Linked DNA regions of Mus musculus. The protein of the gene in region 6 purifies or fractionates together with the protein of the main gene of each other region. This does not show direct contact. Links are inferred from orthologs where the notes say so. Each region holds a gene or a part of one and is shown on either strand. Other genes may lie near its edges.

Evidence for each region.
Region 1: the proteins of Wwp2 (region 6) and Ldlrad4 purify together in Homo sapiens (affinity purification with mass spectrometry; 3 studies listed by BioGRID and IntAct, counting the BioPlex papers as one, with this or other methods). This does not show direct contact. The link is inferred for Mus musculus from reciprocal best matches to the Homo sapiens genes WWP2 and LDLRAD4.
Region 2: the proteins of Wwp2 (region 6) and Polr2c purify together in Homo sapiens (affinity purification with mass spectrometry; 3 studies listed by BioGRID and IntAct, with this or other methods). This does not show direct contact. The link is inferred for Mus musculus from reciprocal best matches to the Homo sapiens genes WWP2 and POLR2C.
Region 3: the proteins of Wwp2 (region 6) and Polr2m purify together in Homo sapiens (affinity purification with mass spectrometry, with the first as the bait; 3 studies listed by BioGRID). This does not show direct contact. The link is inferred for Mus musculus from reciprocal best matches to the Homo sapiens genes WWP2 and POLR2M.
Region 4: the proteins of Wwp2 (region 6) and Gpn3 purify together in Homo sapiens (affinity purification with mass spectrometry; 3 studies listed by BioGRID and IntAct, with this or other methods). This does not show direct contact. The link is inferred for Mus musculus from reciprocal best matches to the Homo sapiens genes WWP2 and GPN3.
Region 5: the proteins of Wwp2 (region 6) and Ndfip2 purify together in Homo sapiens (affinity purification with western blotting; 3 studies listed by BioGRID and IntAct, with this or other methods). This does not show direct contact. The link is inferred for Mus musculus from reciprocal best matches to the Homo sapiens genes WWP2 and NDFIP2.
Region 7: the proteins of Wwp2 (region 6) and Ptpn14 purify together in Homo sapiens (affinity purification with mass spectrometry; 3 studies listed by BioGRID). This does not show direct contact. The link is inferred for Mus musculus from reciprocal best matches to the Homo sapiens genes WWP2 and PTPN14.

Annotation. Positions count from the first base shown.
Region 1 is NC_000084.6:68,253,398-68,256,308, reverse strand, and holds the end of Ldlrad4 (low-density lipoprotein receptor class A domain-containing protein 4), read right to left. Parts: intron 2,301-2,911; coding exon 1,770-2,300; 3' UTR 760-1,769; downstream 1-759. UniProt on the Homo sapiens protein: Functions as a negative regulator of TGF-beta signaling and thereby probably plays a role in cell proliferation, differentiation, apoptosis, motility, extracellular matrix production and immunosuppression.
Region 2 is NC_000074.6:94,860,160-94,864,924, reverse strand, and holds the end of Polr2c (DNA-directed RNA polymerase II subunit RPB3), read right to left. Parts: intron 4,682-4,765; coding exon 4,613-4,681; intron 4,482-4,612; coding exon 4,429-4,481; intron 3,215-4,428; coding exon 3,086-3,214; intron 2,744-3,085; coding exon 2,692-2,743; intron 2,405-2,691; coding exon 2,236-2,404; intron 2,116-2,235; coding exon 2,041-2,115; intron 1,474-2,040; coding exon 1,329-1,473; 3' UTR 683-1,328; downstream 1-682. UniProt on the Homo sapiens protein: Core component of RNA polymerase II (Pol II), a DNA-dependent RNA polymerase which synthesizes mRNA precursors and many functional non-coding RNAs using the four ribonucleoside triphosphates as substrates.
Region 3 is NC_000075.6:71,477,520-71,480,515, forward strand, and holds the end of Polr2m (DNA-directed RNA polymerase II subunit GRINL1A), read right to left. Parts: intron 2,022-2,996; coding exon 1,878-2,021; 3' UTR 918-1,877; downstream 1-917.
Region 4 is NC_000071.6:122,375,327-122,379,298, reverse strand, and holds part of Gpn3 (GPN-loop GTPase 3), read right to left. Parts: intron 833-3,972; coding exon 665-832; exon of another isoform or gene 588-664; intron 1-587. UniProt on the Homo sapiens protein: Small GTPase required for proper localization of RNA polymerase II (RNAPII). May act at an RNAP assembly step prior to nuclear import.
Region 5 is NC_000080.6:105,256,993-105,261,611, reverse strand, and holds the start of Ndfip2 (NEDD4 family-interacting protein 2), read right to left. Parts: upstream 2,990-4,619; 5' UTR 2,940-2,989; coding exon 2,610-2,939; intron 1-2,609. UniProt on the Homo sapiens protein: Activates HECT domain-containing E3 ubiquitin-protein ligases, including ITCH, NEDD4, NEDD4L, SMURF2, WWP1 and WWP2, and consequently modulates the stability of their targets. As a result, may control many cellular processes.
Region 6 is NC_000074.6:107,435,032-107,439,595, reverse strand, and holds the start of Wwp2 (NEDD4-like E3 ubiquitin-protein ligase WWP2), read right to left. Parts: upstream 3,227-4,564; 5' UTR 3,155-3,226; intron 447-3,154; exon of another isoform or gene 11-446; intron 1-10. UniProt on the Homo sapiens protein: E3 ubiquitin-protein ligase which accepts ubiquitin from an E2 ubiquitin-conjugating enzyme in the form of a thioester and then directly transfers the ubiquitin to targeted substrates.
Region 7 is NC_000067.6:189,726,982-189,731,462, forward strand, and holds the start of Ptpn14 (tyrosine-protein phosphatase non-receptor type 14), read left to right. Parts: upstream 1-1,286; 5' UTR 1,287-1,683; intron 1,684-4,481. UniProt on the Homo sapiens protein: Protein tyrosine phosphatase which may play a role in the regulation of lymphangiogenesis, cell-cell adhesion, cell-matrix adhesion, cell migration, cell growth and also regulates TGF-beta gene expression, thereby modulating epithelial-mesenchymal transition.

The DNA.
Region 1 (2,911 bases), on a different chromosome or scaffold from region 6:
TCAGAGAGGACTCCGGCTTTGAACAATTTAGTTCTCAGGTAAGAATACAGAGTTACTTCATGTAATCACTTCTAAAAACAGTCACACACCACAGAGACAGACAGACAGACACACACACACAGAGAGACAGAGACAGAGACAGAGAGAGACAGAGATCGATTTGGTGTTAAAGCTGCCACCGAATTTCTATTCCGGTTCATTGTGTTGCATGCAGAGGCCAGACTTCCAGAAAGCTGGAGCCTGCCTCCGTGCAGTTTAGGAAGCCAGCTCTTACATCTGCATAATAAAGTTGTTGTTGTTTATTCTACATAAAAAATGTTCGAAATCATAAACTGACTTCAAATACTAAGAAGCCATTTTCCAGCTGCAACTTTGCCTGCCACTGCCTTGTCCTGAGTCACACCCTGACCCACCACCTCTATCCTCTCACTGACCATGGTACGAAGACTGGCTATGCAGAAGTCTTTGGCATGAGCGCTGGCAGGTCTGTGCCGGATTCCCCTAACATGCAACACTGGAGAGATGCAGTGGCTTATTATGCCAAACTCGTTCCTCTCATCACGTCCAGGGGCCTATTAAACATAAAGAACCATTACCAGCACGGCACTTAGAAAGCCAAGTGGCCTTGGGGACAACTGCTGGTGCCAGGTGCTAAACAGACTACCCTCGCAGAACTCAACAGAGCTGCCTCGGAAAGTGGAGAAGTGCAATGGGACTCGCTGCGACCCATAGTTCGGCAGTACACAAAATAGCCAGCTTGCATTTTAGACGATTTATTGCATAAAATAGGGTATGTATCTGAATATATTTCATGCTACTGTGGAAAAAAAGTCTGAACTGCTGACCCTGCTGGGAAAAAGACTAGCTGTGCGTGACACTCCGTACACAGTGTAAGCATCTCTTTTCACCAACCTCTCCAAATACCTCAGTAGTACACGGCTTCTGGCTGCAAATTCTTGCAACATAACCACTTTTAAAAATGTACATTAACTTGGTAAACACCAGGGTACATTGCCAAATACCTTTCTTGTATGACTCTGTGGACACTCAAGAGTGTTTCCTTGGGCATGGTAGCCATCCATAGGTGACAAGACAACATATAGAACTTCACACGACACGGTTCCCTCATCCATATGTTAAACATTGAGATAGTGCAACTCTTAAAACATACCATCACAACACAAATCACTTCCTCTCACTCGTCTAACTTCTCCAACTTTAAAACCTTGGCACACCAAACAGGAGTTTTGACTCATATTTTTAAAACAAAATAAGTTTCACACCTTTGGAGAAAAAGCAAACTGGCTGATTCTTCCCCATGATAATATATAATAATTCTTCCCTCTTTATTCAGTTAATTATAAAACAGGCCACTGTGGCCTCATTTATCCGCAGTCTCCTTTTGGAATCAAATATGTCAAAAATACCTCTGTGGGTCTTACTTTCATGATGTCTTCAAAGCAGCCTTTTTTAGTTTTCTCTGCACACCACTTAGCCAAGATCATACCATCTCTAGCCCTTGTCTCCATCCACCCCCTGCCCCAAGGTGAACACTGTCTGTGGTCAAACTGGATGGAAGTTTGAATCGTGTTTCCATCTTGTTTGCATGCAATTCCCGTGAAAGGAAGCAGAAACGAAGACCGTGTTTGCACATTTGGTTTTACTTGGCTGTACCAGTAAAGCTGGACAACACTGTGGCAGTGGGGCCAGCGGGCCTCTCTCTCCCTGCCGCGGTTTCTCTCTCCTTGAAAAGTGCACTCTAGAGGGAATCAGACCAGGTCCCCCGGCTTCCTGTCTTTGCCCTTGATGGGTACTATTGTGCCCTCTGAGTTGTTCGGCTGAAACTGTGGTCTGCTGCCCCTGTGTGTGTTGCTGTGCTGGTGATGGAAGAACGAGGTGCCTGGGTAGTGGCCCATCACCTCGCTGTAGGTCGGGGGTGGCCCCTCCATTCTTCCGTTACTGCTACAGGTAGCTGCGCTGATGCCCGAGTGGCTGCTTGGTGGGCATGGTCCCCCGTTGTACATAGAAATGTCTATCAAGTCACTGTCAAAAACGGTTCGATTGGGCGGGGCCCTCACGGACTCTCGGTTGAGTTCCATCTGCTGCTCTGGGTCCCGGAGCTGTAGCGTGCAGGGTCCTTGGTAAGGAGGCGGCTCCTCCCCGTCTGACAGGGAGATGGTGGGAGGCAAGTCAATCTCGTGCTGCACATAGGGGTAGGTGGGCTGGAAACGACTGAATGGATCCCTCTGGATGAAAGATGGGGTAGTAAACCTATCCCTGCCCCGTGGGGCACACATGATCTGGAAGGAGAAAGGAAAAGGTCTGAGGAGATTCTCAGTACAACTGTGACTGACAATGGGGCAGGCCGAGGGAAGTTCAAGCTTGCTCTGTGTTCACACCAGTTTTCACACACACCCCTCACATCATTTCCTATGTAAAACATAAAAGAATAGTGTCCAGTGTGGTGGTTTGAATATACTTGACCCAGGGAGTGGCACTATTAGGAGGTATGGCCTTTTTGGAGTGGGTGTGGCCTTGTTGGAGAAAGTGTGTCACTTTGGGCTTTGAGGCCTTTTTCATAGCTGCCTGGGAGACAGTCTGCTCCTAGCTGCCTCCAGAACAAGATGTAGAACTCTCAGCTCCTCCAGCACCATGCCTGCTTGGACGCTGCCATGCTTCCCACAGTAATGAAAATGGAATGAACCTCTGAACCTGTAAGCCAGCCCCCATTAAATGTTGTCCTTTTATAAGAGTTGCTGTGGTCACTGTGTCTCTTCACAGCAGTGAAACCCTAACTACAACATCCAAAATCATTTTGTTGTTTGTTGGTTTGTTTAGTGTGGTCCTCTAGAAGCCATGTCACAGGTGCCCTCACCCAAACCTCAATGGCTTTACCCATAAAATGTAAGAC
Region 2 (4,765 bases), about 13 Mb from region 6:
TATACACTGTTAATGGTTTTAATATATATGGCTTATAACATATACTGTATAAACGAGGCTTCCCTCTATCCCTCCCCACCAACACATACCCATTTTTAATTCCACGACCAGGCATGGTCAAGGCTGTTTTTGAGTATGAGGGTGGCAGTGCCTGTCCTCAGTGATACAACTCTCCTGCTGCCAAGATGGCCTGAGCTGCCAGGGTCAGAGGAGGGGGACAATCAGACTGGTGCTGTCTGCTGGCTCTTCCTCAGAAGCCCAAGGGCCAGGACAGCAGGTAGCTCTGTCCTCTGGGCCTACAGTGACACAGGAAGAGTCCTAAACTTCACTGTACCGTGTGGCAGCCTTGCACTTGGGAGTGTTTAGCAGAGGCGGCATCTGGTTTTTAAATGCACTTTCTGCACTGGCCCCTTCCTGCTCAGTAGGCTGAAGATGTCTTTGGGCAGGGCTCCCGTTACCTCGGCAGCAGAGGACAGTTGGGGCCAGCCCGGAGGGAGGACTGCAGCAGGACTGCTGTGGGGAGCACCTTGCTGCTCTCCTTCACTGACCAGGGGTATAAAGCTCCAGCAGGGGGAGTCCCTTGCCCAGGCCAGCCACCCCAGGCCAGATTCCAAAACTAAGACTTTCCTATCTCCCCACACGGTGCTGAGGCTCCCTGCTGAAATGCAATTAAAGCAATTGATTTTCTAGTGCTGGTATTTATTGACTACCGTGCAGAAGGGCTATCTTTCTATTCACATCAAACCTTTTGTTGCGTGTTTCTGTTTTTTAATACTTTAGGGTTCTGATTTGTGGGAACAGACCTTGTAAATAACCACTGTTCACATGTGTGGCAGAATGATAAGGGGCCCCTCCCAGGGGGTGCCCTAGAGCCAGGGAGGTGGCACAGCCAGCCCAACTCTGTGACCCAGGAAATGACCACCCAGAGGTCAGCTAGTTTGTACAAGAAATGGGCCCAACCCTTTGGGAGGGAGGCAAAACTGGCTCAGTTAGTGGCACGATGACGCATGAAGGAGATTATGTTGTGCTCTTTATTGCCAAAAATAAAAACTTTTAAAAAGACAACTACTGTTGATCAATAAATATTCCTTCTTTTCCGTGCTGGTGTGTGTTTCCCCCCATGCTGCCTGAAAACCACTACAGTAGGGCCCGGGATGCTCAACGCTTAATAAAACCCGCCATGTCTAACACCAGTGGGACCCTGGCCATCTCCCCGATGGCCTTCCAGGGGGCAGACTGTGCAGTGCATAGCCCAGAAACTACAAGGGCTCCCGAGGCCTGAAGTCCAGCCACCGTGAACCTAGTCTTCGGAGGCAGGCGAGCCGTGGCTAGTTTATGGTGAGCACGTCACTCTGGATCTCATGGCTTAACTGAGTCTGTAAATCACTCAGCTTCTTCTTTAGCCCCGACAGGGCTGAGAGGACAATGGTTTCAGGGCGCAGTGAGCCACACGACTCCACATTGTAGTAAAACCTGAGAGACGAGAGTGGGGTGAGAGCTCTCGTGAGGCAAAGCTCCGGCTTCGGGCAGACTTCCCTTCTGTCCTCTGAGACTTGATTCCATTCCTATGAGGCCCTGAGCTCAGGACAGGGTCTTCCCTTTTCCTGAGACTCCTTATGCGCAATGGTCCAGATCCACTTCACAGCTCCCCGAGGAAGCTCCAGCTACTTCTAAAGAGCACTGCTGTACAAACCCTAAGATGACTCTATGTGCATTTCTACACCAGAGACAGCAGGAAAAACCAAACACGATGCTGGCTACAGCCCTTCAGCACTTCAGGGGAGGGCTATGGTCAGTCTTGCTCTGGCCTGAGCCCAAACAGGAAGGCCAGAAACAGCAGGGGTTAATAAGGCCCCTTTCCTCACAGTGACCGGAGAGGAAGGAAGACCAACTCAAGATGTGTATGTGAGTTTGGCAGTTAGCTCTTCTATCACAGGGTGGGGGATGGGGTGGGGTGTGGTGAGCTTGGGTGTGTGACTGCCTAACAGCCTCCCACACCTCTATTTACAATTACAGTCGCAAGCAGGCCTGGGGTCTTACCTCTCTGGCTTGCCGTTGGGGTCGTAGGGAGCCTGCGACTCATCCTCATCCAGCTCGGAATACTCACTCTTGGGCCTGAGGGCAAGCACAGGTGAGGCACAGGGGCTACTTCTGCTTGTAGCAAGGCTCTCAGAGCACTACCCACCTATCGCTCACTACAGCCACTGCTGCTTCCCCTTCCCCCCAGGAACATACCATTCCTCAGGCTTGGGATACACTGTATGCCTAAGTGCGTTGTCTGGATCGTATTCAAAAGCTACCCCCGCAGTAGGGTTCCACTTGGCATGTTCCTTGCCAAAGCCCTTCTTGGCATAGGCTCGAAGTCTCAGCTCCTGCCCCTTCCTCAGCTTGACAATAAGGATGTCTGCAGGGAGAGGTGAGAGTGAGCCAGAACAAAAAGAGGCAAGTTCTCCAACTTGTGACCTGTAGTACTGCATGAAGACAATCCACATCTTGGCAAAGGGTCCAAAGATGAATGAAAGATACCAGGCAACTCAAAGGGGCACATCTGACCTCTGCATCTTCTGGCCACCCGCTTGACTGCCCCACCTCTTATCATGCTACCCCACCCCCTCACCACCCTTGCCCAACCCCCTCACCACCCTGCCCCACCCCCTCACCCCCATTCACCCCCCCGCCCCACCCCCTTACCATCCTGCTCCACATAGTCATTAGGGTCGTTATCCCGGTTCCGAGATGTCACCTGTAGGAAGCCCAAACAAGTATGCATTAGCCTCTCACCTCTCAGTCACCTCTGGCAACTGTCTCTCAGCAAATGCAGCCTATAATCCGTCAATCCGGGGAAAGGAGGCTGAGAAGAAGAAGGAGATGGCAGAGCTGTCCAAAGAACCCAGAGGCCTTTAATGGGGTCTTTGAACAACATAGGGCACATGGCACTAATACTGCTCTGTTCAGGAACTCAGGACCAGCACGTCTAGGTGGCAGTTAACGTAGATGGTCACAGGGTAGGTTAGCATCTGCCTCATAAAGACCCACTCCAATCTGTCCCACTTGGAGGCAGGCAGAGAAGGGCAAAGACACTAACCGGAATAACCCGGGGGCTGTTGGAGATGAGATCTCGGGAGGTGACATGGCGCGTCTGGTCTTCATTGCACCTCACATCGAGAGTGAACTCCACAGAACACTCAGGGCAGAACTCTTCACATGTGCAGTCCTGAGGCAGGAGGACAGCTAGGATGAGGAGACTGGACTCTCTGCTTCTCCTATCCAGCTCTTTCCAGATTCTTCTTGGTGAAAAGGGGTGACCACGGTCCCAGCCCTTCTGGGCTGTGACATCTGGTTCACCTCAGGATAACTAACTACACTTCCTTTCCATGTTCACTGCTACAGCTGACCACTAGGGGGCCCACTCCTAATATAGCAGTGCCTAGAGAGGTCATCTCAAGGGACCAAGGTTGTATGGGACTATATAGTCCTGTTTATGCAGACCAGCTTGGCAATTAACTGAAAATACAAAGAAGGGAAAAACAGGAAAACAAACAAACAAACAAACCACCCCAAAAAACCGAAACACCTTTCAAGTTTTAGATTATTTGGGGAGGGATTACCTAGCCATAGAGGATTACAGCACAGACATGCGCTCAAGTATGTAGAAGGGAAGGGTAGAGCACGTGCAACTTATTATCTAAAAGGTTAGAGGAAAATCAGGCAAATGTAGTAAAGCATTAACATCTACTAACTACAGAGGAAAAAATAAACGGTGTTTTATTAACATTTCTCAGACAGGCATGGGAACACATGCCTTTAATAACCACAGCATGCAGGAGGCAGAGCAGGCAGATTTCACTTCAAGGCCAGCCAGAACAACATAGTGAGACTCTCTTAAAAACGAAAACAAAACCGAAAAGAATAAATGGAGGCTGGAGAGATGGCTCAGCTGTTAGAAGTACCTCCTGCTCAGTTCCCAGAACCTGAATCCAGTAGCTCACAACTGCCTGTAACTAGTTCCGGGGGCTCTGATGCCCTCTTTTCACCTTAGCCCACCTGCTCAGACACAGAGGCAGACCTGTACGTACGTAAAAGTGGGTATGTTTCCCGGACTCTTTTTGTTGTTTTGAGACAGGGTTTCTCTGTACAGCCCTGGCTGTCCTGGAACTCACACAGAGCCGCCTGCCTCTGCTTTCCAAGCTCTGGGATCAAAGGCGTGCGCCACCACACCCACCCGTGTGTTCCCTTTTGAGGCTCACTGATGACGCCTGGATGTGCTGAGAGCAATCCGATGCTCCATCAGAACCAAGGACCACACTATTAAGACATCATCTCCACCATCAGCCACAACAACTGGAAGGGAGACACCCCGGAAGACTCCAGGGAGAACAATCCCCCGGCCCCTCCCCGTGGCCCCAGTCTTCCCACCAGCACACATACCCGGGAGTACTGCAGCTTGTCCACAATGTCATCACTAGTGAGGGGGATTAAACCTGCAAGACACAGAAGAGTGCTTTGCAGAACAGCCAACAGCCAAACCATCACAAGAGCCTCAAGGAGGTCACGCAGGCTGGGGACAGGGAGCGTCCCATTTGATCCGGTCCACCTCAACACCAGCACTCACCAAGCCTGTGCGCGATGAATTCATCATGAAGGACCGAGGAGTTGGCGTCAATCTGAACCCAGTCGATGGCTGGAAAAGGCAGCAACAAAACAGGGTAAGTGAGGACTAGTCACCAGACACATCTACAGACCTGCAGCAGCACTGTCTCCACTC
Region 3 (2,996 bases), on a different chromosome or scaffold from region 6:
AATATCCTTTAAGTATTAACTTTAAATTATTTATCTCTAGTAGAACTATAAATAACCTCTGTAGTGAGTAACATACACCAAGCCCCTCAAAAACTCTGCAATTTTACTTAGAAATTTCACTTCTCAAGTGTGTCTAATGGCTAAGGCCTATAAGCCTTGAAGCAGAAAAGCAAGGTCAAAGCTAACCTGGGCATCTTAGTGAAACCTTGTCTCAAAAATCAGGTCAACTGATGCTGGTGATGTAGCTCAGTGGTAGAGCACTGCTCAGCCTGTGTTAAGCCCTAGGTTCAACCCCCAGCTTCACAGAAAAGAACAACATAAGTTCATTTCTAGAACAGCTCTGGGGACTGGCAAGATGTAATGAACGTCCAAGGTGTTGCGCACATCACCAAGCACTGGTTATATAATCATTTCATAAGATATCCAACTGTTTAAAAGCTATAGAGCAGCCATAAAATGCATATTGTGGTTGAGATGGTTGAGATATAAAACATTTAACACAGGAAATGTTTGCAAAACATGAAGCAAACTGATAATACATATAAAATGGCTACACAGAAAGCAGATCAGAGTACACTCGACTATTGACAGACTAAGTGGTCAGCTCAAGGGGGACTGACTGCGACTGCATGCTTGAGTGTGGTCTCTCCTTTACAGCCTTCTAGAAGCACTAGTTCATTCCAGATAAGGAATATAAAACAATGTGTTTTGAAATCACCTATTAGCAGTTTTAAAACCACAGGTTCCATACTGTTCTTACAGCAACCTTTTCTTCATGGGAGAGATGTGGAAAGTGCTGACAGCTAGAAGCATCCACTATGGAATCAAGCCCTTCCCAGTATGTGTCTAATCTAAATGTGTTTTCAGTCCAACTTCATGTATGAACACTGCTTTTAAAGAACGGAAACTCAAACAAGTACCAAGAACACATCGCCATGAGCTCGGGGAGCTGCTCTGATTGGTATTTTATTTCTTCTTTACAAGTTCCACGTAATAGACAAAGGCTTTTGATAACATACTGTTATCTTTGCTCAAAACGATCATATAATCATTTTAAACAACACAAATGTGTACATACATGACTGAGGTTTCTGCAGCCTATAAACACCTCTTTGGGTTTAAAAATGAAAAAAGCAATGTACTCACAAGTCAACTGTAACTCTTAGAAAAACATCGGTTTCCTTACCAAACGTGAACGCCCTGTACAGGGACCTATCATCGAGACAGCAATGAGTTCAAGCCAAGGGAGGCCAGGAGCAGCTCCCCACACCAGCTCAGAAGACCCTCCCCCGCCCAGCACCTCTTCAGCGCTCCTTGTCCTCATCCTAGGAAGACAGCAGTCACCCCAGAGAGACAGGATCAGCCAATGCACTTGCTGTAACATTTCTGAGTGTCTTCCACAGTGTTTCACATCCAGCATCTCAGGAACATGTCCATGCAGGCACGTGGACCATTCTTTACACTTCATTTCTTGAGCGAGGGAACCAGGCCTTCCTAATTCACTTTAGGTGCCTGGGGTAACAAAGTATTTCACCAGAAAGGGTGTAAGCAGCACTATCTGATAAGAGTACAGATAAGGAAAATGCAGCTAAAGAAAACGTGTGCTCTACTCACACTAAAATATCAGACCAATGCACAACATACTGCAAAACTGTAACACAATACGGCCAAATACAAGGTTCACATATTAAACTGTGCAAGCTGTGAAGAGCGTCTTCTGAAAGACAAACTGGGTTCTTACTTTGTAGCTACCTTTGTGTAACTTAAAAACCTGCTGTCCCTCAACAAGGTCTGACGCTGGTCTTGATACTTGTTAGGAAGTTCGATGAGCCAATGAGAGCTCTGCAGCCAGCTCTCGGGGTGTCCCAGCCCTGTCTTCAGCACTCATCCGAGGACTGGGCATCAGCTTCGTCCCTCACTTCTCGGTATCTCCCTGAAGACTCCCCTTCTGGATTGTAGCTCTGCATTTTAATATTCAGTCTCTCGGCCAGTTTCTGTGCTGCGAGCTTTGCCTGCATCTCCTTTAAAACAAACACAAAGGCCAAGTTACACATCCACAGCTCCCCTTAGATATGTGGCAGGACCGGAAATAAAGGAACATTGGCTCCCACTGTCTCTCTGGCAACACAAGCAGCTGACATTAGTGTCCTGTCAAGACATGGGGCAATGTTTCCGAGAGCTGTCAGCCTGCTGCAGTTCCCAGCTGCAATCAAAACAGCTCACCTCCACACAAGACACTGAGAAACCAGCTTGGCACTACAGCAGCCATTAATAGACACACGAAGTGTCGCGTATGCAGTGAACCACCTGCCTTTGTTAGAAATCACCAATGTGGTGCTGACATCTTCCACTGACTTTCTTCTCTAGACTAAATCATGTTTTCTAGATTTGAAGGACACACCAAAATGGCACAAAAAGAGCCAAAACATTAATGCTGCATGCTGAAGTCTTATAGAAATTTATACTTGAAAAGGTCCACGTAAATTCAGATGTGCAGTGGACTTTTCCACACACAAGACTTTACTCCAACTGCTGGCAGGCTACACAGCTCATCTGATTCACCTTCTGTACCACCCACACTTCTGTACCGCCCATAGCAGGTCCTTCCTCTCTGCCCACGATATATGGGTAGGCATAATTGGTATCATAATTACTATTCTGTCAAGGCAACACAATTCAAGCTGAGGGTTGAACCTAAAAATGTTTCGAGGTTTTTTTTGTTTTTTTTTTTAAAAAGTCGTTGGGCTGTGGTGGCGCACACCTTTAGTCCCAGCACTTGAGAGGCAGAGGCAGGAGGATTTCTGTGGCCAGCCTGGTCTACAGAGTGAGTTCCAGGACAGTCAAGGCTACAGAGAAACCCTGTCTCGAAAAAGGAGGGGGAAAAAAAGTCCAGAGACAACTCACAGGTCATTCCTCTGGCACAGCACTTGGATCTGATGCTAATTTTAGTGTACTAATGTACTGGGAGGAAGAAACGCAACAGGCCATAGAGCTAT
Region 4 (3,972 bases), on a different chromosome or scaffold from region 6:
AATCCGCCTGCCTCTGCCTCCCAAGTGCTGGGATTACAGGCATGCGCCACGGCGCCCAGCAAGCAGACTATATTTCTACATTTCTTTTTGCCAGTGCTGGGCTGGGGAGGTGACCCTGTGGTAGATTGTCTCGCTGGCATGAAGTAGCCCAGCACTCACCCCTCAGCATGGAAAACCAGTGATACGAGCATAAAGGGGTGGCTTGGGAATCCACACTCGTGACACACACATGAACAAGGCTGGCTCCGGTCCACAGCTCACACGTCACCTGTCCCTTCCCAATTTCACCTCACAGCACCTCTGGTCAAATAGCCACCCCTGCCTCAGTCTGCTCATAGCTTCTTGTCTGAGGCCCTTTGCCTGCACAACTGACTCCATGTTGTCCCATAGCCTATTTTAACGGACAACTGACCAGTTGCCTCCTGTTCCCTCTGTGGGTCACCTGCCAAAAATACAAATCATGGGGCAACTGCTGATCGCACTTGCTTCCCACTGAGCCACAAGCTATGGCCCCTTACTCTTAAGGTTGATCTCAGTAAGCACTTGATCAACCCAAGGGATAAACCGGATCCAACTGGGTTCTGCAGGTACTTGTTCACTACGTCCCCACGAGGACACAGTGTCACAGCTCCAGGCAGATTGTACACTCAAGTTGTTGCTGTACCTGGACAGTCAAAAAGGATGTAATCGTCCTCGACGTGGCCCAGGCAGTTCTCCAGCCAGTCAAAGTTATTGGCAAAGTACTCCATGCAGAAGACCAGGCCTCCGTTGGGGCCGAACCGCAGAGACTCGTCCTCCATCACATCGTCCACCTCGATCAGCTCCCGGATGTCTGCAGAGCCAGGCAGGGACCAGAGTGAGTATCCACTTGGAAAACTAATCAACAGGTATATATAGATACACCCCTCACACATGGGGCTGGGACAACGACTCAGTGACTCAGCGTGCTTGACGCACCATCCTAAGGACCAGAGTGTGAGCCTCTGGCATCCATGGAAAAGCTGGGCCTGGCCGCACCTCTGCAACTGCAGTGCTGTGGGCAGAGACAGGAGGGCTGCTGGGGGCGGGGGGGAATTATGTCCAGGGTTCACAGAGAAAGGAGCTTTAGTTGAGGAAATGCCTCCATGAGATCCAACTGGAAGGCATTTTCTCAATTAGTGATCAAGGGGGAAAGGCCCCTTGTGGATGGGACCGTCTCTGGGCTGGTAGTCTTGGGTTCTATAAGAGAGCAGGCTGAGCAAGCCAGAGGAAGCAAGCCAGTAAAGAACATCCCTCCATGGCTTCTGCATCAGCTCCTGCTTCCTGACCTGCTTGAGTTCCAGTCCCGACTTCCTTGGTGATAAACATCAGTATGGAAGTGTAAGCTGAATAAACCCTTTCCTCCCTAACTTGCTTCTTGGTCATGATGTTTGTGCAGGAATAGAAACCCTGACTAGACAGAGACCCTGCCTCAAAGGTGGAGAGTGAGAGACCCAGACAGCTGACTGAGCATTACTGCAGAGATATCACACAGTAGAACACTTCAGACACAAGAGGGAGGGGAGCTCTTTTTTTTGTATTTTTTTGTTTTTTTTTTTCCAGACAGGGTTTCTCTGTGTAGCCTGGCCATCCTGGAACTCACTCTGTAGACCAGGCTGACCTCGAACTCAGAAATCCGGGGTTTTTGTTTTTTCATCTTTTTTTTTTTTTTTTTTTTTTTTTTTTTTTGAGGCAAGGTCTTAGACCAGGCTGTCTTAGAGCACAGAGATCTGCCTGCCACTGCCTCGTGAGTGTTGGAATTAAAGGCATTCGGTGCCACACCCAGCTTGGAGGGAATGCTCTTTATAGCATTAAGTGAAAAACTTAGTGCATAGAACTTCCTGTAAGAATCAGGTGTGCTTGCCAGGCAGCTCTTGGGAGAGTGGGGAAAGAGGGCTATACAGCTACAGAAGTCCACTGCACAGACTTTATGTGTACACTCAGTTGCTTATGGAGGAACACATCAGAAACCAGGGACATTGGCTACTGAAGGAAGCAGGCTTGACTGCTGGGCCACAATTCTGGACACTTCCTGCTCTGAGCTGGTCACAGTGTGAACCACTTGGCTATGTAGTGCCTATATCAAGAAGTCAGCTGAAATGAAGCCAACTGCTATCTCTTCACTTGATGACCAAGAAGCCAGTTAACTCCCAAGCCTGATTACAAGTTGGAGATGGGGAGGGGAGCACTCCGACTGGGGTGGGAGGATGGGAACTCTGTGACTGACTTCCTAAAAGGTATTCAATCTAAACAAGTCACCTTCTGTGAGGCCCCCGGGGGTCTCTCAAACATCTTTCTGCTTAAGGAAACCGAGTGCTTCCGCCACATGATCCCAAAGCAACAGCCTGCCTCCTCCTTTCCCTTTCCCCCTTTTCCCCTTTCCTTTTCTTTTCTTTTCGTTAAGAAGTATTTATTTATTATCCATAAGTACACTACTTGTCTTTAGACATCCCAGAAGAGGGCATCAGATCTCATTATGAATGGTTATGAGACACCATGTGGTTGCTGGGAATTGAACTCAGGACCTTGGGAAGAGCAGTCAGCACTCTTAACCTCTGAGCCATCTCTCCAGCCCCAGCCTACCTTTCTCTCTCTCTCTTTTTTTTTTAGAATTAATTTTTTTATTAGGTATTTTCCTCATTTACATTTCCAATGCTATCCAAAAAGTCCACATTACACTCCCCCCCAACTCCCCTACCCACCCACTCCCACTTTTTGGCCCTGGTGTTCCCCTGTACTGGGGCATATAAAGTTTGCAAGTCCAATGGGCCTCTCTTTCCAGTGATGGCCGACTAGGCCATCTTTTGATACATATGCAGCTAGAGTCAAGAGCTCAGGGGTACTGGGTAGTTCATAATGTTGTTCTACCTATAGGGTTGCAGATCCCTTTAGCTCCTTGGGTACTTTCTCTAGCTCCTCCATTGGGGGTCCTGTGATCCATCCAATAGCTGACTGTGAGCATCCACTTCTGTGTTTCTAGGCCCCTACCTTTCTCTTAAGAGAAGATGATTTCCACTTCCTCCCCAGCTTGCTCCCCAGCTCCACCTACTAGAGGGCCTTACTCCTCAAGAATGCACATCTGTGATCCCAGCAATCAAAGGCAAAGGCAGGAAGGTTAGAAGTATAAGACCCCATAGGAGGAACATCAATATGAACTAACCAGTACCCCCAGAGCTCCCTGGGACTAAACCACCAACCAAAGAAAACACATGGTGGGACTCATGGCTCCAGCTGCATATGTAGCAGAAGATGGCCTAGTTGGTCATCAATGGGAGGAGAGGCCCTTGGTCCTGTGAAGGCTCGATGCCACAGTGTGAGGGAATGCCAGGGCCAGGAAGCAGGAGTGGGTGGATTGGGGATCAGGGGGAGTGGGGAGGGAATAGGGGGTTTTCAGAGGGGAAACCAGGAAAGGGGATAACATTTTAAATGTAAATAAAGAAAATATCTAGCCAGGCAGTGGTGGCACACACCTTTAGTCCCAGCACTTGGGAGGCAGAGGCAGGCAGGTTTCTGAGTTCGAGGCTAGCCTGGTCTACAAAAGTGACTTCCAGGACAGCCAGGGCTATACAGAGAAACCCTGTCTCAAAAAAATAAAAAAAAAAAACGTTTTTGGATATGCCAACACCTGACTATGCTACTGAACTTCACTATGGAGTATATTACCATTGCAGAAAATTTGGTGAAGGTACACAGGAATCCTTTGTATTATTTCCCACCACTGTACTTGACATTGACTCAAAATCAAGCTTAGAATAATGACTTTGGAGAGACTTTTCAAAAAATTCTCCATTGCCTTTTACCAAGGTTCCACTAAAATACAAAAGTACCAGTGTCTCACGTAATGAAAACTGTAAGTAGTGAAGAATTATTTTGTGAATAATTAAGGAAGAAATAAATACTATTTAATGATTCAAAAAAGTATAAGGCCATCCTTGGCTACATAAAGAATTTGAG
Region 5 (4,619 bases), on a different chromosome or scaffold from region 6:
GCAAGACATTGTAGCTGTACATGTTGTCTATTGTTGTGGATTTCTAGCAATGAATAGGGAATGGGGTGGGGGGACATTATTATAGCCAGGGATGGTGATGTGTGGCTGTTAGCCTAGTGGGAAGCTGAGGCAGGAGGATCATGAGCTCCTTGGCTACTCGATGGTTGAATGCTTATCCAGAATGTGCACAGGCCAGTCTGGCTAAAAATAATAGTCATCCAGATGTGGACACAGCCTGGAGGCCCAGCCACAGATAAATGGACAAAGAAAATGTATAGATACATGAGGATGTTTTATTCAGCTGAAAAGAATGAACATTCTTAGGAAACAGGAAAACAGATGGAACTGGGGTGGGAAGGGACACAATATGTTAAGTGAAATAAGCCAGATTCAGAGAGAAAAAGGCATGTTTTCTATCCTAAGAGGAAATGTAGATTTAAATTTATATATACATACGTATGCATATGTAGGACACGAAAGTACAAAAAGGACTTATAAAATCCAACACTTAATATGTTGGCTAAAGCAATAATAAAAGAATAAACCCTTTGGATACCCTAAAGAAAAGAAAATGTCCTGGATAAACTGTATACGTGGATTAAAGACAGTAAGCCATTCTGATCACCAGGCATCACCAGTATGCAGAGCTGAGTTTTAGCTCTTTAAATAAGAGTAAATCCACACAGCACAGTGTTTCTCACCCCTATGTACAGTTCCCTATCTCCTGACCTCATCATCGCTAACAAAGTTGTTTACTGCTCCAGTTTATTAATCATTCTAGAGTTTCAAAATAAGGCCTGACCTAAAGGTAGCCATAAAACAGGCATGCCCATTACATAAGCTAAGCTTCCAGACTGAACCCCAGCTACCGAGTCTACGCAAAACTCAAACTCAGTTGTATCTATGCCGTTTTCCCAGACAAAGCTACTCGCAAAAAAAAAAGGGAGGAGGGCAGTTTATCATCCTAAACACACGAACTTACTATGTAACCACAAAAGTAAAAGAATGAAAATACAAATTTAGACTATAATAAAATTCTCCAATGCTTCTCCCCATAAAAAATAATATTCTATCTAAAAGAAATAATTTATTTAGAATGACTGATTTCTGCCCTCTGCCCTTACAGAGTGGCTCCACCCACTCAAAGTCTTTATAGGACACAGCTTCAGTTTTGAAGGGAAAAAAATGTAGTATTTTATACCTTCTTTCAAAGTTTAGACAAAAGTAAACTCCAACATTATCTGAAGAGATTTTGAGAGAAAAAAATAGTCTCAACTAGTTACCTCCATCAAAAGCAAAAGAGACAATATAATAAATTAAAACTATTAACACTATTTTAAGTATCATCCATGGTTGAGCCCAATAAGGAAAAGCAACCCAAAGAAAGAATTCAAATCAAATTATATCACTTAGAGACACAAACAGAAGTGGGTAAGATTTGAGAAGTAAAACAAGTATCAATGATAAAATTACGTGGCTTTTTTTTTTTTTGCAAACACTTAGAAAGGGAACAATGTCTTTTAAAAAATATAAAGTTACCCAAAGCTGACAACTTGAAAAGCACCTTCAATAAACTGGCAAGATTTCTATTTCCTAAGCCATTCTGAAAATGTTGATAATTTTCAGAAAGTTCATAATCTAAATCACCTGGCCATGCTATAGCAAATAGACACAAATGACAGAGAATTCTTACCAAAGAAAAAATGAAAATTTAAGTCTCTACCACAATCCTTCAGATTTGTCAAAAGGCACAACACACATGCAGACAGACAGAAAAGATGACATATAGGACTAACTGTGCAATCTTATAAACCCGACACGCAATAGCAACAATATGCACAAATGCTTTTCTTCTCTCCCCCCGTAACTATGTTCCACTAAATTATCTAAAAGTTTATAAGTGAAAACGCAATAAAGTAAATATTGCTGACAATGCTATTCACAATATTTATCTCCAATGACATCACTAAAACACACAGGGTGTAAAATACAGAGATTCTGACAAAGAAAATACAGGGCGCATTTCACTCATTAAGCATAGCTGGTGGTTTACATACTTGAGTGATTTTAAAACTCTGTATTAAATGAAAACTATTTCATTTCAAACAAGGTTTGATTTTTTTTTCTAATAAAGCGCTGCACACACGAACACAGGCAAAGCAGGAACAGATTTAAAAAAAAAAGAAAAAAAAAACGATCACTGTAATACTAACACAATGGAAAAGGGCAAAATGACAAGGTTAACTAGAAGAGAGGCACCTTCCCCATCACAGCTCTTCTCTACCCCTCACGCCGGTTGTAGCCCTGCTGCACCCCACTCTATAACCTCACACAATTCAGGCCACCGGTCGGGTCGACTCCCTGACAGGTACCTGCACCCTGCCCCGCCGCAGGGGGACACCACTCACTGCTCACGGGTGTGTGAGTCAGGGAAGAAGGAGGGGAAAGAAAGCCAGCCGGGGTGAGTCGGGGAGCGTCGCCGGGGAGGGGGCTCGGCGGGGCGCTGGCCGTCGACTGCGGCCGGGGGCTGGCGGAGAGGTGGGCTGGGCGGGAAGGGGCCCGCCGGGACGCCCCGAGGCCAGCGTCCTCCCCGGGGCCCGCGCACTCACCACCTGGTAGCGACCAGTCCCCAGCTGGTGGTGATCCATCCTGCCCGCCTCGGGGTCCGGCTTCCGAGCGGGCGTGTCCCCTCGGCGCTCAGCTCCCTCGGCCTCCCGGGTCGACGTCGTCGCCGCCGCCGCCGCAGAGCCTCTTCCGCCGCCTCGGGTTCTGCCGCCGAGGTCGCCTGGCGGGGCCGCTTCACTTCCTGTCGCTCCCTCGGCTCCAGCGGAGAGCTCCGCGTCGCTCGCCGATCGGCGCCGGAGCTCCGGGGAGCCGCGCGCGCTACTGAGCATGCTCGGCGCGGACGCGCATGCTCTCTGGCTCCGCCGGCGTCCCATCCGCCGCCCGGCTCCGGAGGTGTCCCTAGGTGGGAGGAGATGGAAGAGTCAGGCAAGTCCCCGGGAGCCCTCTAGGTTGTCATCTAGTCGACAGTGGGCGGTGGCAACCGAAGCGGAAAAGAAAAAAAAAAAAAAAATCGTCCCACTTGATTGGATTTTCCTGTGAGGGCAGGTTTCACTGTGGGGCGAGAGGATGCATCGTCACTGCGGAGGGTGGAGGCGCTGCATTCCTAGAGCACCTGAGGACAGGTCGCCCTTTTATTAGTCCCCAGCCTAGAGCATCTCAAAGAGATCCATCTCAGGACAGGCCTAAAAAGGCGCTCATTCGAAATCATTAATGAGGTAATGAATTACCAAATACCAGGGACATATACATATACAAAGACCACATATACATATATAAAATCAGCTTTAAAGTCACAGTAAAATTTCGAGGAAGGAAAAAAAAAAGACAGTCTTGCTTCTGAGCACGCGTAGCCTTCCTCAGTAGAACAGCTCATTTGTGACAAATGTTAAACCCATTTGACAGCGTACCATTGTCAATCACTTAGAATCCATAATAGATTGCATTGGAGTTCATTTTGAACATTGTACGTTGTAGGAGTTCTGACAAATATACCCTAACTATTATATATCATACTGAACAGTTTCATTACTCTGAAAATCCTGAATAGGGCTTTACCCTCCTCTTTCTTTTGCCCCCTTGTTTCTAAGAGATTTACAAATTCTTCAAACATATTCTGATGACATACAGAGAAAGAGGCCTTTAGAAATAGGAAATGGGAAGGACAGAAGAAAATAATGAAGTGAGGTAGGATTTTTGTGTGTGTGCTAATAATACTCAGATATTCCTAAGATAATGGTAAAGAATCAGTTTTTGTGGCGCATCATAATACCCTGTGACACCTCTCTCTCCTCTCCTCTCCTCTCCTCCCTCCTTCTTTCTCCTTCTTTCTTCTTCCTTCTTCTTTTTCTTTCTTCTTCCTTCTTTTTCTTTCTCTTTTTCTCCTTTTTCTTCTCCTTTTTCTTTCTTTTCTTTTTCTTTTCTTCTTTTCCTTTTCTTCTTCTTCTCCTTTTCTTCTTCATCTTCGTCTTTGTCTTCTTCTTCCTCCTCCTCCTCCTCCTCCTCCTTCTTCTTCTTCTTTTCTCTCTCTCTCTCTCTCTCTCTCTCTCTCTCTCTCTCTCTCTCTCTCTCTCTCGGCACAGAGCATGTTTCTCTAACAATTAGAAGACTATGGCAGACCAGCAAAAGGTACCTTTTAACCCAAACATCTGCTTCTTGTACCCTGAGATCTGTGGCCCTACTCGATCTGGCCCAACTGTTCTTTTTAAGATAATCAAGCCCTTTCCCCATAACTGTTCTTACTATGGAGATCTCCTGGGGATCCGGGGAGGGAAACCTGGAGACCATCTCTCACTTTGCTTCATACATGTGCAGATGAGATTGCCGAAAGAAAGGAAGCCAGATGAGACTGGTACAACTGGCCAGATCCAACAAAGTTCAATAAACTTTGTATAGTTGTAGCTAGAAAAGTTAAGTCTTTCTGATATTTTTATTTTTCAGATGATTTATCAGATCTCTATTAGGATCATCTTAAAATATCTAATATTAGCATTGCCAGACCAGAAATAATAAAAAGCAATTGGTGTTGTCATACCTAATTTTCTTCATGTGTTCCA
Region 6 (4,564 bases):
AACTTTTTTTCTCTTTCGAGTCTTGGCTCCAAGATGACCAAAAAAAGAAGAAACAACGGTCGTGCCAAAAAGGGCCGCGGCCATGTGCAGCCCATTCGCTGCACGAACTGCGCCCGGTGCGTGCCCAAGGATAAGGCCATCAAGAAGTTTGTCATTCGGAACATTGTAGAAGCCGCTGCTGTCAGGGACATATCTGAAGCAAGCGTCTTCGACGCCTACGTGCTTCCCAAGCTCTATGTCAAGCTGCATTATTGCGTGAGCTGTGCCATCCATAGCAAGGTTGTTAGGAATCGATCCCGCGAAGCCCGGAAGGACCGAACACCCCCACCACGATTCAGACCTGCTGGCGCTGCACCTCGACCTCCACCAAAGCCCATGTAAAGAGGCCGTTTTGTAAGGACAGAAGGAAAACTACCCTGGAAAAATAAAATGGAAGTTGTACTTTAAAAAAAAAAAAAAAAAAAAAAAAGAAACTTTTTATCGCTTCTATGAATTAAAAGTAATAGGTCTAAGAAGAACAGACCTAGGTTATAGAGAAAGTGGCTCATTGGGTAAAGGTGACTGCCAGCAAGCCTGACAACTGGAACTCAGTTCCCAGGACCCATAGAAGGAGAGAGCCAACTCTTGCATTTATTTACTAGTTCCAGAATCTAATATCAGGACTTCAGTAAGCCTCAGTTCTTCATCTGTGAATGAAGCAATGCAACCTTCAGAGATCTGGAAATGAATGAGACGAGACGCTGAGCCAGGCACAATGGTGAATGAAGGCCTGCGACCCCAGGTCTTGGAAGGTAGAGAATCTATCGTAAGTTCCTCCACAACATAACCAGTTTGAGGCCAGCCTGGGCTAAAACCTACCTTCTATCAAAAAGCTAAAAGACCCTGTCTCAGAGAGAAAGGGAGGGGAGGGGGGAGAAGGGAGGGGAGGGGACTGGCTGGACCGGACAGGGAGAGAGGTTGAGCATAGTAAATAGCGCACAGCTTTAATCCCAGCACTTGGGAGGTAGAAACAGCTGGATCTTTATGAGTTCTAGGCCAGCCAGGTCTACACAGTAAAACTTTTGTCTCAAATAAATAACCAAAATAAAAATAAATGAGAATCTGGTATCAGTTCTTTGCAGATGGGGATGTAGTCACTAAATGAAAGACTAAGATAGACCTGGTGGTATTGGCCTCAAATCCTAACTACTGTTGTGTTGGAGGCAGAAGGATCACAAGTTCAAGGCCTGCCTGAGCTACAGGAGTTTGAGGCCACCCCAGGCAACTTACTGAGAGCCTGTCTCAAAAGGAAAAAAATAAAATAAAAAATTACAAAAAGAAGGGAAGTGGGAAGGTGCAATGTTCAACAACAACAAAAAATTAAGAGACTGACAAGCCAACTGAAGCCTTCTCCTCATGGTTCTGGCTTTCCATAGACCAGTAACACTAAACAGAGAAAGGGACGGGAAACTTATGCTCTAACCCCTTGTTCTCCACATACACCGAGCAGTGTGACCTTTAAAAACTCATTTACTTCTCAAACACTGACCAAGTACTCCTAACATACCAGGCCTGGGGCTAGTAGCCAAAGAAGTCAGGTAAAATAAGATCACTGCCCTTGAATGATTTACAGTCCTAGCAGGAAGACAGTAAACAAGGAAGAAAAACAAAATGAGGATGTCAGGCAGGCTGAGACTAAAGAGATGCAGGCGAAAGCACTCACTGCTCTTCCACGGGACCAAAGGTCAGTTCCCAGCATGCAAATCCAGAGGCTCACAACCACCTGTATCTCTAGCTCCAAAGGACCCAATGCTCTGTCTGTCCTTGGTGGGCACATACACACAGGAACATACACACAAATAAAAATACATCTTTTATTTTAAGTCAATTCTCTTAGCTTGTTATCTATAAAGTGTGAATGACTTCTCGAGACTGCTACAAAAATTAACTTTTAAATGCTTATAATATACCCCCCAAGTCTTCAACTCCTAATATATTAATGCAAAGTGCTTTTTCCCCCCTAGCGACCTGTGATTCTGGCTCCTGTCAATGTCCCATTTGAACCCTGACCTTCGTTGCATTCATAAACTTTGCTTCACTTCTGCAAACCTTAGCAAAAGTGAAGGGAAAAGAGGGTGGCCTGTTTGTTTATTTAGGCTGGCTTGGAACTTGGAGCCATCTTCAGGCCTAGGCCTAGAGGATGAAGAATCTTAAGATGGGTATTTTTAACCTCAAAAACTACGATCTAGGTCACAGTTCTAAGGAACACAAGAGAAACTTCTCAGTCACCCCACCTAGTCACAGCTGGTCAAGATAAGCAGTCACATGGTAAAGGAAGCTGCATAATTTAAGCTTGAGAGGTCTCAAATCGGTATGGGCAGACTTTCAACTGTCCATGACTTCAGCAGTCAATGCGTTGCTGAGGTAACGCCGGCCCAGGTCGCCAACAACAGTGTAGGTTAAAAGTCTTGTTATGATCACAGCAAAGCACCTACACGTCTTTTTTTTTTTTTTTTTTTTTTTTTTTTTGGTGGCCTCCAAGATGACCCGATCCGGGAGCATCTCAAAGAAAGACGATCTGATGGGCAAGGTTCCCAACAAGTGGAAACCCTACCCAAACAGGGCAAAGTGGGTGTGACCAGAGTCAGACGATCAAGACTCAGGGATCCCTCCTGAAGTTTAAAGAACTGAACAGAACCGGTATCAAAGTCCCGGATCGCCATCCTTTTTAAAGAGGACGGAAGGAAAAAAGACTCTTGGAATGGGGTCCAGGCCGCATCGTCCAGATTTTTTTCTCCCTGTCCCTACAAGCCAGACGCCCACTCCCAGGCAGCCCCTTCCAGGGAGCAAATGAGTCTTCCCCGGCTGAGGTCGGGCCCCCTTCCCAGACAGACACGGCTCCTCCGCACCGCAGGCACCCGGGGCTGGGGGTCTCCTTCCGGAAGCGCCACCAGCGGGCGACTCCCGCCGGGCCCCGCGCCCACCCCGCCCGGGCGCGAGCCGGGACATCCCTCCTCGGAGGCCGGAACCGCGCGCCAGGCCCCTCCCACAGGAAGCCGCCGCCCCCCGGCGCCCGCCCCGCGCCGCCCCCGGCCCCTCGCGCCGCCCGCCGCCCCCTGGCTGCCCCGCGCCGCCCGCTCGCTGCCGAGCCCCCCAGTGCCCCCGCGCCACCTACCTGCCGCGGCCACACCAGCGGCGCCTAACTCCGCTCCACTTCCGCCTTCCAGCGCCCGCACTCGGGCCGGGTCACGTGGGCGTGCGCGGTCACCTGACCCGGAAGAGGCTGGCCGGGGCGCGCAGGTGCGGACCACCTAGGACCCGGGCGGCGAGCGTTTGACCCGCTCAGGGCCGGGATTGCAAGGATCACCCGGGCTGTGCCCGAGCAAACGTATAAAATAAGGGCTCACCGGGCCCCGGGGTCTTTATGTATGCCTTTGGAAGCAAGTACAGTTGTTTTCCCGCCATGGTACAGGTGGGAGAAGACCATCCGATCAGTTAAGTCAAGTCTTGAAGGAGTTGCTGGATAAAAAACAGTACGCTCCCCCCCTCCAAACTTGAGTGTCAGATAAACCGTGTAACTCTAAGCATGTCCCCAAATTTGCAAAGGATGTTTTGGTACCACAGATGTATACTGATCAAACTTGAGCATCCCATGTAATGTCGTTAGCTTGTGCCAACTCTGTAAGGCCTTGTTCTCAGTTCTAGAAGTATAAATGCCCTGGCCTTTGTAAGGCATCTGTTGTTCCAAGAAGCAAAACTGGAAAGAGGGACGGGAGTGGAGCATGGGACATGACACACGACAACCTGACACCCTTTCAAAACTTCCGGAGTCCCTACGTGTCTTCCCCATGGGGAACCAACTCCCATCCCCCCCCCCCCGCTCCCCTCCCCTACGGAGTAAACTGAACATTATGAATTAACAAACAGGGAATCTATGTAAGTAACCCTGGCTGACCTGGAACCCAGCGCTGTCCTTGGCCACCTGATTCCTGGCATTGTAGACATACCTCACCGTAGCCTGGACAACAGAAACTTTCTGGGTTTTGCAAGATTGACAGTTGAACGTGACTAGTCCAGGGCGTCCCAACTGACCTATGTTCCCAGCCATTTTGCTTCCTTTCTGGTTTTTATTTGGAACAGGGTCTTATTTTAAATGCTCCAACTGGCCAAGAACTTTTAATTCCATTGCCTTAGCTTCTGAGTAGTTAGGATTACCAGTTTATACCATTGGGGTGGAGGGTTAGGGGTGAGAGAGGAGACAGGTGGGGCAAGATTTTATGTAACCTAGGCTGGCATCCACCACCGAGTTAATTGTTCTGATTACCTGGATTTTTGTTGGGTTTTTGTTAACTGAAATATTACATTTTCATTTGTATTTTATTACATAGATGTTTCTCTTGAAGTGTATCTGTGTACCACCTGTGTGTCCGGTGTCTTTGCTGTGGGGTATCTACCAAGAGAAAGTCTTTATTAGCCACCCTGTGACTACACTGGGTGTTCAGGATCCCTGTGTAGTATCAAGCCTTTCTCGGGGCGAGGTTTTAAGCGCAAAATTCGCGTCCTGGGTCGACATGCTCCAGTTAGC
Region 7 (4,481 bases), on a different chromosome or scaffold from region 6:
TTGCTCTGTGGGCACAGAGATCTTTCTTTCTTGTTTTGAGGTAGGGTCTTGCTATGTAGTCTAGGCCAGCCTCGAACTTGTGATTTTTCCTGTCTCTGCCTCCAGAGTTGGCATGAGCCATTTTGATAGGATAAGGCCTGGAAGTTTTGTGTCCCTTGCCTGTACAGTGAAGTAATTTAATGATATTTTGGGTGACAAGGACTTCAGGGTCCTTGAAAGGACTGGTCTTAAGATTTCAGGAAGAGAACAGATGCCAAGACATGCAAAGCACCTTAAAAATATAGGCAACTCCTTTCACTTCACAATTACTAAACCCAAGGATCAGGGGTAGGGGGCTGGGATCTTCCTGAGTTAACCACTGGGCCAGCAACTCCGCGGGGCCTAATACAGGTTTCCTTGCCCGGCCGAGTGCCTTTTCCATTACACTGGCTGCGCCTCAGTAACCCCACCTCCGAAAGTGCTAACGCAGTTCCCTCCCAGTGCCTACCCAGGCGGGGTGGGGCCCCCTCCGTGGCATGGAACAAACCGGGAAAACCACATATTCCAACTTCCAGCACACAAAGGCTGGTTGGCCGTGGGGGCGGGGTGGGAGGACCGGAGCTAAGACTCACTACTCAGAGATCCTAGGATTCTGAGGAGAGCTTCTAGATTGCCTTCTCAAGGAGGCCACCCTACTTTGTCCCGTGTCTCCTGGGCGGTGGCGGCATGGGGGCATCCTGCTTGGAGACCTCCCTCAAATAAATGGCCTGTTCTAGCTCCAGTGTCCCACCCCTTAGCTGCCCACGGAAATCTTGGAGGGACGGTCTTTTCCTTTCCTCTTTCCCCTCCGCCTCCTAAGCGTCACACAGTTTGGTTGATTTGGGTCATCGCCCCCTCTCCACTTCCAGTCTATCTCACTCCGGGCACTTTCCTTTAGTCCACCGTCCCACACCTTGGTAGGGAAAACGCGCTCCAAAGCTAGCCCATTAAAAGTGCACGACTTCTGCCCGGCCGGCCGAAGGAGCTCCCGCAGCCTGGCATTCCTCGGATTCCAGCGCTGTGACGTCCCTGGGGACCGTGCGCCCGCAGCGGGGGAGCCCGGGCTCCTCTTTTCAGCGCAGGGCGCGCGTCCCCGAGGCTGGCGCGCGCCCTCCCCGGACGCATTCCTGGCCCGCCCAGCGAGCGCCCCGCGCGCTCCCCGCCTCCTGGCCCCCAGCACTGCGGAGCAGAGCCCGGGGCGGGGGAGCGCGGCCAGCGGCGCCTGCTCGTCCCCTCCCACCCGGCCCCTTCCTCCGCCCTCCCCGGCCGCTCGCGCTTCCTGGCGCTCGGGCTCTCCGGAGGCTCAAGTTCTGCACAACTTCTCCCGGCTGCCCAGCGCCTCGGCCGCGGGCCCGGCCAGCTAGCTGCGCTCCTCGGCTCAGCCGTCTCGTCCACAGGGCAGGTCCTCGTGGAGCATCTGGTACCAAGTGGCCGCTGGCGGTCCCTCTCTGCGCCCCACCTCTCTGATCGCCCGGGTCCCCTCGCGTGGGACGGCGGTGCTTAGGTTCTTGGCCCTTTCTCCTCCCCGGTGCGCCCGGCGCGCCGGCCGCTGCGTAACCCTCCCTGCGCCCCTCCTCTGCCAGCTCCTGGAAGCCAGTGGTGGGGACCCAGACTCCCTGATGGTCAACGTGCGGCACCCGGGGCACTCCCGGGCCATGTAAGCAGGTAAGCTAGCCGGTCGGGAGCAGATACTCCAGGCAGAGCCAACTTCGTTCGCCGCCGGGGACGCCGGGATGCGCGGTGGGGGCGCCAGGTGGCCGGCCGCCGGTTCTCTTCGCTAGCAGTGCTCGCTCGTCCGGGATTGAGCTGGAAGGGGAGCGCGGTCTGGGACTCGGATTCAGCCAAAACATCGCCTCCAGCTCCTGTTGTGTTTGCGAGCAGGGGAACAGAGCGCAGAGCCCAAAGCTTGTCCTGTGCCTCTGTGGGCACTGGGTTTGTGAGGGGGTTCTTGTGCCCTCTCCCCAATACCTCAGCCTTGATACCAAACTCCTGAGTCTCTTGGCCCCGGCTTGGGTGATCCTTACAGGCGCGCAGGGAAAAATACCTTCATCTCAGACCAATCTCCAACTCGAACTTTGCAAGTTCTGAGAGTTAACAGCCCCTTTCCCACGTGACGCCACATCTAGTTTTAAATCTTTGGGAATGGTTTTCCTATCTTTTCTGGGAGGAATTGATGTGCGCTGTCACTATCCCGCTTTGCCCTTCTTCCTTTGGTTTGAGGAGATATTGGGGTCTTGAGTTTAGTTGGTTCACGGATTAGCTGGGTCCTACTTAGGCGAGTTCAGACTGCTGCTGAATGGGTGTATGTATGGTCAATTTCCAAAATGCGTTAATTTCTTGAAATGGATTTCCTCCCTCATTAATTCAACAAACTCAGTGGTGAGTCTTCCCCTGTGCTAAGAGATCACATTACAAGAGTCTGCAGCACCCTGCAGGCAGCCGTGGGCGGATGGGGACATGTGCTGTGAGAGAGGGGTTCTGAGACTCTTGGGAAGGCCAGGCCCTGGAGGAAAGGGGTTACCTTCGTTGAGGGAATGATGCTCAACTTAGGAGTGGTTGAGGGACCGCATTCCAGAGGAGGGAACAGCTTGGGCAAAGTGAGGGGCGCGGAGAGGGGCGTGCAGAAAGTCTTGGAGAGCGACCTGGTGGCTGGCTGGGCATGTATGGGCAGGTTGGTGCAATGTTGCTGGCATAGTTAGCCCCCACCCCAGCAGAAACGAAACCGGAAGTCTTTTACCCACTTCCCGTGACCAGGAGTAGCTTCCAAGGATCAAAAGCGTTCCCTTGGACATGTTCCCTCCCCTGATGTGTTTCCCACAGGGTTCTGTAGGGTGACAGGTGTTTAATTGTCGTTAATTTACCCATCCTTGGTTTTGTTAAAGTATCCCCGTGAGGACCATCCCACCCCACTACAGAACCTTGTCCTGAGAGCTTTTGACATGGGGAGAGCAGTTTGTGTCTTACAAGTGGAGTTTCCTCTTTGGTGCTGGGGACAGAACCTGGTCCAGGCCTCGTGCTCACCAGTCACCAGTGCTCATCCCTTTCCCAGATCCCTAACAGCTTTCTTCCCTAGCAGCACTCTTACCCGTGTGACTGTGTGGCTGGCACGTGGAGAATCAGTTGAAGGATGTGGCTATGTATCTCAGAATCACTGCTTTTAAAAGGAGTTTCCACCAGATAGCGGTGGCACACGCCTTTAATCCCAGCACTTGAGAGGCAGGCGGATTTCTGAGTTCGAGGCCAGCTGGGTCTACAGAGTGAGTTCCAGGACAGCCAGGGCAGGCTACACAGAGAAACCCTGTCTCGAAAAACTAAAAGAAAGAAGGAAAGAAACAAACAAACAAACAAAGAAGTTTCTGAGTTTCCGCAGCATCTTGAGGTTTTCTTTGCTCTCTCTGAACCTGTAGAAACCGAAATTTTCCATCCTTGTAACTCAGGGTCCAGCACACACTGCCTGCAGAGCTCCTCAGTGCAGGAGAGGTTGTCCACAGTCACCTCTCTGGGGGACTTGTTCACTGGGCTGAAGTGCATATTCCTAGTGGTCGGTCCTGGCTAAGACGCAAGGTCTCCAGCCTTCATGTATCTTAAGCTGCCGGAGCGGTTCCTTGCAATTTAGGGTGTTTATTCAGGACTCTCTCTCAGCCCAACTCCGATCCCAAGAGCAAGCATGTCCACGGTGGAAGATCTGGAATGTGTGTGGGACCTGCATGAGAGAAATGTGTGTCAACAGGCCGCTGCTTTGTGCTGCTTGGTCCCGGGTCTCCTCGAGGCGTTCTTCCTTGGTGTGTACAAACTCATAGCACCGCAGTTACTCAAGCTGGTGTGAGTTATGTTCCACGGTCAGCTGGAAGAGAATCACCTTAGGGAGACGTTTAATGTTGGCACACCACAAAGAATTCAGAGGCAATCAGGGCTTCCAGACGAGTTCTTCCTTGCCCCAGGGATGAGCAGAAGCCCACGGCTGTGAGGATTTCCCCAGTGTATGCTTTTTTTACTGGATTCCTTTCCCAATGGGGGATACAAGTATTGGCCTCTTCCTAGCAAATTGAGCTCACCTGGGTTCCAGAGTCTTGTCTGTTTTTGAAGGAGAATTTGGCCACATTCTTGCTTTTGAACTTTTCATTGCTTGGTTACCTAGTGCTGTGTGGGTTTCAAATCCATTCTGAGCCTCAGAACTTTGCTAGGCACTTGGTTGGAGGTGAGGCAGGAGGAGAAGAGATAAGATGAAATACTTAATTAGCCAATTAAGGAAGGAGAGAAACAGACACCAAAGCTTCAGTAGGGAGGAAGTTAGTGTCTGAACTGAGTTTTTGATCTCCCGAACTGATGAAATGGATTTAATTTGCCCTCCTCCTAGGGAAGGTTGATTAAGTGGTCCCAGGAGTGGGTGGGGCCAATAGCTGCAACTTTGTAGTGAGTGTGTATATGTTTGTGTGAGTGCGTATGTGTGTTGTATGTGAAAT